Caenorhabditis elegans: one gene and its partner. The protein of the gene in region 1 purifies or fractionates together with the protein of each later gene. This does not show direct contact. Each region holds a gene or a part of one and is shown in the gene's direction. Other genes may lie near its edges.

The links.
Region 2: the proteins of C46C11.4 (region 1) and M110.9 fractionate together in Caenorhabditis elegans (co-fractionation; one large-scale study listed by BioGRID). This does not show direct contact.

The regions. Positions count from the first base shown.
Region 1 is NC_003284.9:4,643,735-4,649,221, reverse strand, and holds C46C11.4 (F-box domain-containing protein), read left to right. Parts: upstream 1-2,017; 5' UTR 2,018-2,103; coding exon 2,104-2,220; intron 2,221-2,448; coding exon 2,449-2,525; intron 2,526-2,752; coding exon 2,753-3,043; intron 3,044-3,185; coding exon 3,186-3,495; intron 3,496-3,880; coding exon 3,881-4,152; intron 4,153-4,688; coding exon 4,689-4,818; 3' UTR 4,819-4,914; downstream 4,915-5,487. Other genes in the region: ent-5 (Equilibrative nucleoside transporter 1), read left to right, coding at 28-174, 218-351, 401-687, 736-935, 989-1,198, 1,250-1,446, 1,499-1,628.
Region 2 is NC_003280.10:8,229,460-8,233,492, forward strand, and holds M110.9 (DUF148 domain-containing protein), read left to right. Parts: upstream 1-1,816; 5' UTR 1,817-1,858; coding exon 1,859-1,942; intron 1,943-2,087; coding exon 2,088-2,147; intron 2,148-2,796; coding exon 2,797-2,892; intron 2,893-2,938; coding exon 2,939-3,133; 3' UTR 3,134-3,241; downstream 3,242-4,033. Other genes in the region: nte-2 (Putative patatin-like phospholipase domain-containing protein M110.7), read left to right, coding at 3,379-3,423, 3,471-3,558, 3,604-3,703, 3,880-4,033.

The DNA.
Region 1 (5,487 bases):
TTAAAAGTTATGTCTTGTCTACAGGAAATGGTAATAATCAACCGATCGAACACCTATGCCGTTGAGCAGGAAGCATTTCCAAGAGACAAGTACAATATTGTCTACTGGCTCGTCATTCTTGTTGGATTCGGAGTTCTTCTGCCATGGAATATGTTCATTACTATCGCCCCTGAGGTTTGCAACTAGATAATTTTCACTAATAGAGTTCCTGTTTCAGTATTATGTGAATTATTGGTTCAAACCGGATGGCGTGGAGACATGGTATTCGAAAGAATTCATGGGATCTTTGACGATTGCCTCACAACTTCCAAACGCAAGCATTAATGTTTTCAACCTGTTCCTCATTATTGCGTAAGTTACAGTTCTTCTAAACTCTCAAAAATCAATCAATATTTTTTAGTGGTCCCCTGATCTACCGCGTCTTTGCTCCGGTTTGCTTCAACATCGTCAACCTGACAATCATTCTCATCCTCGTCATTGTTCTGGAGCCCACTGAAGATTCCATGTCCTGGTTTTTCTGGGTAACTCTTGGAATGGCGACTTCAATCAATTTTAGCAATGGGCTATATGAAAACTCGGTTTATGGAGTTTTTGCCGATTTTCCGCACACCTACATTGGCGCTCTCTTGATTGGAAACAACATTTGCGGATTGCTGATAACGGTTGTGAAAATCGGAGTGACCTATTGTAAGTAATTTTTCAATTTATTGCTTTAAAAACTATAACATTTTTTAGTTCTGAATGATGAGCCTAAACTTGTTGCAATCGTCTATTTCGGCATATCGTTGGTGATCCTTCTGGTGTGTGCAATTGCACTTTTCTTTATCACAAAGCAAGATTTCTACCACTATCACCATCAAAAAGGAATGGAAATTCGCGAAAAGGCGGAAACCGACAGACCGTCTCCATCCATTCTTTGGACCACATTCACAAACGTGAGTTTTTAAAATCAATTAGCTTCAAAATAAATATGTGTGACTAATTTCAGTGTTATGGGCAACTCTTCAATGTTTGGTTCTGCTTTGCCGTTACTCTCACAATCTTCCCTGTTATGATGACCGTTACCACTCGTGGAGATTCCGGCTTCCTAAACAAAATTATGTCTGAAAACGATGAAATCTACACTTTGCTCACAAGTTTCCTCGTCTTCAATTTGTTCGCTGCGATTGGATCCATAGTTGCTTCCAAGATTCACTGGGTAAATTGAAATTCAGAAATAACATTGCTTGAATATCATACAAATTTGCAGCCGACACCCCGTTACCTCAAATTTGCCATAATCTTGCGTGCTCTTTTCATTCCATTCTTCTTCTTCTGCAACTATCGTGTCCAGACGCGTGCTTATCCTGTTTTCTTTGAGTCTACTGACATTTTTGTGATTGGTGGAATTGCCATGTCTTTTTCACATGGATACCTCAGCGCTCTGGCAATGGGATACACTCCAAAGTGAGTTACAATTCGGTTGTTACTATGAAATTGGAAATCTTTAAATTTTTAGCGTCGTGCCATCTCACTACTCAAGATTTGCCGCTCAGCTTTCCGTTTGCACTCTTATGGTTGGCCTTCTCACCGGTGGCCTGTGGGCCGTTGTTATTGAGCACTTCGTGGACAAGCCAAGTATCTTATAAATATTTATAGCATTAGAGTATACTTGTTATATGTTGTTTTTATTAAGCTGTGGAATAAAATAATTATTAAATTAGCCCGTTTTCCCTTTTTTGATAGCAACAATTTGCTACTCAATATTGTGCCACTAATGCTCTGTGAAACGTGGAAGACTATTTTAGAGATTTTTTTTTGGAGTATTAATTCTGCTTCGATTAAGTTGTCAAGTGTAGCTTATGGGCCACCCTGTTGTCATTACTAAAAAAACAGTATGTATTTGAGTATGGTTACTCACTGGTAGACAGCTGCCACCGCGATTGCCGAATCAAGACCAATCTAACAGCATTCTCAGTAAATGCCGGCTACTATACGGCTGCTAAGGAGCAATAGAAGGCCAGATAGCGTTTACACCAAATTGAGGTCACCAGCCATGAGAACTGCTCGCACAGTGTAAGACACAGCACAGCACAAGAGGCACATTGTTCATATTGATCTAATATGCTTGCCGAATTGCTTTTATTAATGGTTTATGTTGGTGTTGGTCAGTTAATATTTTATCTTATTCGAAGAGCTTGTTGGAAAGCGTATTGTTTTATAAGGAGGCAAATTTTTCCGGTAAGTTTTTGCGGTTGCCAAGGGGCTTGTGGCTGTCCTTTGAGTGCACTTTTTCTGAATTTTGCGTCTGCAATCATGAAATACGCAGGTCTTCTTTTTGTTGCTCGAGTTATCTTGTTTATCCTTTACAAATTTTTTTAGTTTTCATTAAATAATCATTTGACAGCAAATTAGAAACTGTATTTCATGAAAATGAAATAGCATTCACAAACAATAATTGTTGTTCAGGGCAATCCATTAGAAATCCTTCAACTCCCACATCGCGCGTTTCGAGAAGTTGTGCTTCAAATGAATCTTCTCGAAGTGTAAGTTAGCTTTTTGAATTGTCTATCAGCGTCACTAAACTGAAAATAAAAGATCAAATTGGGCATTTTTTCATGTTCCCTGTTAGAATTTCAAAAGTATTATTCAAATAGCAATTTTTCAATTTGTTCAAAAGTGTAACCAACGCAATTATCCGAATAAACTAGTGAATTGTAGCAGACATTCAAGTGAACTCACATTAAATAAAACATTTCAAAAATTATTTCAGGTTGGCACTATCTTTTACCTCTAAGAAATCATTACTCAAAGTGCAGCAAGTGGAGCGTAAACTTTACAGACTGATGATACAAAACTGTCAACTGTATTATCACGGTAGAAGATCATTATTTGAAAAGATAAACTTTTTTCTAAGAATGCGATGTGTTCATAAACCTCGAAAAATTATTGCTCTGGACAGTGAACACAATTTGAAACAGTATCTGAAACGTTTGGAACGTCAGACAGGAGACACGTCTCATTGGATGATCAACCCAATAAGTGTTTGGGAGTTATTTTTCTCGTATGTTCATTAAATTAAAATTCTAAACCATTTTTTTTGAGTCAGTGAAAACTTTTACCATTTGTGAACGGTGTCTCAGTTGTGTCATTTTTTTGAAAATCAACTTGTTAATTCTTTTGTTCCTTTCAATGATTTTTTCCAGAATTTTCGAACTGCAGTCTTTCGGAATAGAATGTATTCAGTACAGAAAGAAATATCAGCTCATAGCCACAATGGATTATTTTTTCAAACTATTTTCTATTCAACAGCTTCACCTTCATTTTGATTATGATCTAATTTCTGATGAATCCTTTGCCGATCATCCATTGTTTCGTGAATGTCACTATCTAGAGATTCATGGAAAAAACAATGCACTTTCCAACCAAGATATGATCACTTTAAATCACCGATTTCCATTAAAAAGTGTATTTCATGCATGGTGTGAGCTGGCAGATGATTTCGATTACCAACTTGTAAGTTTAGTCAATGTTTGAGAGTGAACCAAATAAAAATAATGGATTTAATTTTTCAAACACTGATTGTTATGAAAGGTTCACAGAAACAGGTTTGATATTTATTAACTATGTAATTTTACATTTTATACAAATGGTGTGTGCCTCAAACTTTCACATGCAGGATGCACTCTACTGTTAAAACACAAAAGAAACAATTTTTTACAAGTTTCGTTGGTAAAAGTCATTTACTATTACAAATATCCAGCGTAATTTTCCGTTCCTATCAAGTTTGAACTCTGACATTTCTCATTAAACTCATTGTGGCGGAAAATTCATATGTTCAGGGAAAGTAAAAATTTCTAGATATTTTGTAAGGAAAATGCATATTAAAAAATTCTTCCAGCTCCGAAATATTCCGCGACTGAAAGTGGTCTACGGCGAGAAAATAACCATACAAGATTTGATGAACATGGAATGCGAAGAAATCCATCTATGGTTGAACAAATTGACATTACGAGATATTAATATGTTCATTCGTCACTGGTTAGCTGGCAATCTGCCAAACTTCCGAATTCTACAACTCCATGCCTTTGAAAGTGCACTACCTTGGGGAGAAGCATTAAATGGTATTAATGACAAAGTGAGGAACCTGACTCGCCAGCCGAGAATATATAAGTGAGTGTCTTTTAAATTCATATATATTATACCAGCCGTCTGGTAAACTCCAAACTTTATTGTCAATTCCGAAATTTTTAAAGCCAAATGAAAGTTTTATATTTTAAGTTTCTGAAACTTGTATATTTTAAACAGTTTAACTTTTCACAGTTGCAACATTAGTTTTCTCGGCTCGTTTAAAAATAAACAAAACTTGCGAATTTCCATACTTATTTCAAAAACTTCTAATTAATATTTCGAAAACTTTCCTGAAGTTTCTTAAACTTTCCAAAAAATATCTCAACATTTCTAAAAAGTTTTAGTAGTTTCTAAAATTTTTTGTTAGATGTGAAGCCTGACACTTTTGCATTATAACGACAGTTTTGGCAGATACGTACTTGAACCTGTCGACTGACTTTCATTTCCGGTAACCGGCGATCCCAGATTTTGTATTTTCCTACAATTGGCAATTCAGGCAACTGCCAAAGGTTTCGATTGTCCCACACATGGCTCCGGCATGTGCACTACAATAGGTCTGCATAACATCACTGTTACAGAAGCGATCAGTACGATTTGGATTGCACAAAAAGAGTGGATGTTGTTAGGGACGATGGAAGGATTTCTACCCTATGTTCAATGGATTTCTCCTTATATTTTGTTGTTTGGAACGAGGATGTTCAAAATTAAATATTAACTTGTATTTCAATTACTCTTGTTCAAACTTTAAATTATTTTTAAAGCATACGTTTTAAATTGAATTTTGAAATAAAACAAATATCAAATTAGCTTCTTTTCTGGGAATTTTTCCGAACAGAATTTTTCGGCATGTACTCAAAATTGTGCCAATAATGCTCCGTGGAACGTGAAAAACTTGGACTTTTTTCCGACGTATTAATTCTGCTTCAATTAAGTTGTCGAGTTCCTTTTTCCTTCTTTTTGGAGCACGAATGGAATGTATGAGTCATTCTTCCGTATTTTTTGTTGAGATTACCGAATACAGAACAAAAATTTTTTGAAAACAAGTTGCCACCTAGATGTCATCTAGAAGTTACACAGGGCAGTCCATAATTTTGTAATCCATTTTAAGCTTAGAAATTAGTTTTTCATATACATAGGTTTATGTAAAACATGATTTAGTGTTTGAAATAAAGAAAGCATTTACACAAGCATTTATGCAGCTTATGGACCACCCTGTGGCTTATAGACCACCCTGTGGCTTATGGACCACACTGCGGCTATGAACACTTTGAAGTACTCGCTTTAAAAAAAATTTAAAGTTACACAATTTTTAGAATCCAGTTAATTTAGCTGTGCATTTCGCAAGAAGCAAAAAAATCGTCAAGTTAATGAATATTA
Region 2 (4,033 bases), on another chromosome or scaffold:
CAATACGCCCATTTCTGCAACTGCCGCACGGTTTTAAAACTGTATTTTTCTCAATAGAGCGAGAAATAACAAGAAAAAATAATTTTAAAACCGTGCGGCAGTTGCAGAAATGGGCGTATTGCAAGCCACGGTTCTGTGGGCGGGGCCAATCCCCCGAGTTGGTAATCCCCCCAATTGGACATCCCCCGAGTTCTTCGGGTCTCCATTTTCCACATCAAATAATAATTTGTGAAACTTGGGACTTCAAGCGACTACTATTATTGAGATCGTAGCGAGATTCACTCAGAAAAAACCAGCGTGCGCCTTTAAACTGAAGTTATGATACTTCTTTTAAATTTGAAATCAATTGTGATGGCGCGAGCAGAGAGACGAAAATCAAATTGAATTCGACGCAAGCCGAATTTTTGTTTGGGCACTTTAACAGCCTGGGAGTGAAATTGTATGTATCGACCCCTAAGGCGGAAACAGAAAACAACTTACAGGCTGCTCTAGACGCTGTAGTGGATTGGACAAGGGGAGCAAAACTCACCCTAAGCCAATCTAAGACAGTTCACGTCACAGTAGGGAGATGTAGAAAAGATTTTAAATACCACCTTGACGGTTACCCTATAGAGCGAAAAACAATTACCAGAGACCTTGGATTTCTAATATCAGAAAAACTGGATTTCTCGGAGTATTGGAAGAAATCTATCAATCTGGCGAAATTTCAGCTGGCCAACATTTTTAACCAGTACAGTACCTCCAATAAAAAACTAATGATTCTTTTATACAAAACTTTCATTCGTCCTCGTCTAGAATATGGAACAGTAGTGTCTTCTCCGACGAAAAAATCGGATGAGAAAGCAATAGAGTCTGTGCAAAACGCGTTCACTAGGCGCCTTTATAGTAGAATCAAAAAAAGGTATATTAATCCAACTGATAAAGATTACAAAACAGCCATGGAACGTAACGAACTATTCAACCTCCAAACCTTAAGCACGAGACGTAAAATAATTGACAGAATCCAAGTAATCAGAATGAATACTGGTAAAGTAGACTTAAAAACATCTGAGTTTTTTGAGCAACAAGCGACCCACACTCGTTCTAAAAAGAAATATGTCTGGCGCACAGGAAAAACTAAACTTAGGAGACACTTTTTTGTTAACAGAACGCTTTCTACTATGAAACAACACTGATCTGATATTATTCTTAATTTGTCCTCTTCCCTTCCACGTCTTGATCTCTCCTTTGAATATTCCCGATTTGCATTTCCTTTTGATTTTTTTCTCTATTGTGTTCTGTCTGTATTTTTTCTATTATTATTTTTTGCCTGTTGTGCATATTATTTTCACGACTAAAAATCGTAATAAATTAAATTAAATTAAATTAAATAATTTCCCCAGTTGCGACACTTCACCTTTTATTTCTCAACAAAGCATACACTTTGCCAATTCTTTGCAGTTTTCAATCGACTGTGGCATTTTCAGAAATATCATCCTTCAAGGTTGCTAACAGTTTTCAAGTTGCTCTAATAAATCCAAGAATAGTATTGTGAAAACTGCACTTTCTTACTCCCTTTTTCACAGAGTTTCTGATTCAAATAATTCGCAAAAAAAAAAACAAAAGGTTTGTAACAATCGGGGAGGATAACATGATGTTTGCTTGCCCACCACCACTTGCACCGCCACAGACACTTTTCACACATCTACAGTCCGGCTTCTCTTCTTGTTGTTTTCCTTTGTTTCTGGTCAATTGTTTGTACAGCGCCACGACTCCGCCCTATTTGTGAGAAAGAGCTGTCTTGCCCATCTCTGGACAATTAGTCTTCCTGAATCACACCTGTCATCCGGTGTTCACTAATAATATATTTTCTGTTGGTATGATCAAAAATATTGCCATTGTCAGTGTTGTCTTTTGTGCATTTGTCAGCACACAAAGAGCTCCGTCAACGGAAGTTATTGATGTAAGAAGACCTAAAATGTTTTGAAATATTATAAGTATTATCACATAAAGTTATTTCCGAATTCTTGTTTAGGAAGAATTTGATATTATTTCCCAGATCTAAATAATATTTGATTACTGTGTCACCTAAAAAACAAGATTTTCAGAAAATCCTCGGTAGTGCAGAAACAAAGACAATAGAGCAGATCAACAAAGAAATTGACAAGGTAAGTAACTAGAATCGGAAAGTGTTTAATTGACAAAATTGAAACTTAATTGAAACTAATCTAAACTTAACCTAAACTATATATTGTTCTGCTTCAATCGGCAAATCACATGCTATGGAATTTTCACTCACTACATCTAGACTTTTTTGACTACGAAAGTAATAATTTTAAACCTAACGAAAGCATTATGTTCTACGATTGTTCTATGAAAAAATTCCAATTTCACGGCGCTATGCGAACGTTATAAATTATTATTTCATTTTAAGAGATAATTACTGGATTTTCAAATTGTTATCCAATTTGGAACCTACTTACAATTAGTTCTAAGTTCACCGAAATTACTCAAAAAGTCCGTTTTTTTGGAAAATCTGGCAATTTATTAACTGCACATTTTGAAACACCTAACAAATTTTTGGAGTATTATTATGATATTCGGCCACGTTCGACGATGATAAGTTTAATTAACTTACAGCGCCAAACTTCCAAAAAAAAAAATTATAATAGCTGTCACAAATTCCATATACACTAGAATGGGAAATCTTACTTTTCTTCTCTAGCTGCTACACGCAAATTCAAAATTATTTTCTTTAATAGTATTTATCGGCTGCTTGTTTCACTATCATAGTTAAAAGAATAGAAACATTTTCAGTTAGTAGAAAAATTGGATGAAAAAACGAAACAGGAGCACAAGGCTTGGAAGTTGAGAGTGGAAAAAGATGAAAGAGAACGAAAATCTAGAATATTTGTGAGTTTTCAATTTTTATCTTAAAAAACTTATTTGAAAATTTCAGAAAGTTTTACCAAAACTATCGACACGAACACAACAAAAACTCATCCGAATAGTGATGACACAACAGAATCAAACACTTTCTGTTGGTGAAAAAGAACGAATTCTGAGGCATATTTCGACTTCAATGGATAATAATACTAAAAATGAGTTGGCAAGATTTCTCTCCGACAAGGATTTGTTTTCGTTAATTTACTGATTTATTGTATCATTGAATCAACTATTAAAAACGTTTTGTACATTTTTATTGAATTTGCCTATTTATTTTATTATATTTTGCCTGAATTTAAATAAACAAGCTCTAATTAATTGGCTTGTCAAATTGTGTACACGTAATTTTTATCCCGCCACGGTATTCAACAAAAAAGTTTTCTTCAATTTGGAGACTCAATTTATTTCCGAATAGTTCTCGAGAAGAAATAGGATATTTCGCATTTTTCCGAAATGTTACATTACCTGTTGTCGGTATTACTTTTAATATTTGAAAACGTAAGTGCCTAGACTTCTAAATTTAATAAAAGATAAGTATATTCCAGATATTAGAATTATGTATGTGTATTACATTGGTGATACTTATCTATTACTTCTGGCCTAGTAAACAACTCGAAGATGCTACTTTGCAATGTATGAATAGCCTTCGTGTAGCTTAACTTATTATGTTTTGTTCAGATTTCCCTGACACTACTCAAAATAGCTCGGAAGTGTTCATTGATCCGCCGGAGCGAAATCCAATATTCTATCCAATCAGTCCATTAAGACACAAGAAAAGGTAAAATAAGTTTTATAATCTACAGGGTTTGAGCGATTCTAGCTGCAATTGAGAACTCCCAATGGTTTTGACTAGCTGGATTCAAGTTACACGAACCCCTTAATATATGTCAGAACTATTCCTCAAAAAATCCAGCATATTGCAAATGTAATCTTCAAAGTATTGTAAAACTACAGATCAAGCAAGGAGGAGATGACACCAGATAAGAAACGAGACTCTAGTGAAAAGATTTCAAAGCAGCCTCCCAGAGAACTTTTCGAGCCAAACGAGCAAGAACAAGTACCATCACACATCAAACCGGAAATATTCTTCGTTTTGAAAGCATTAGAA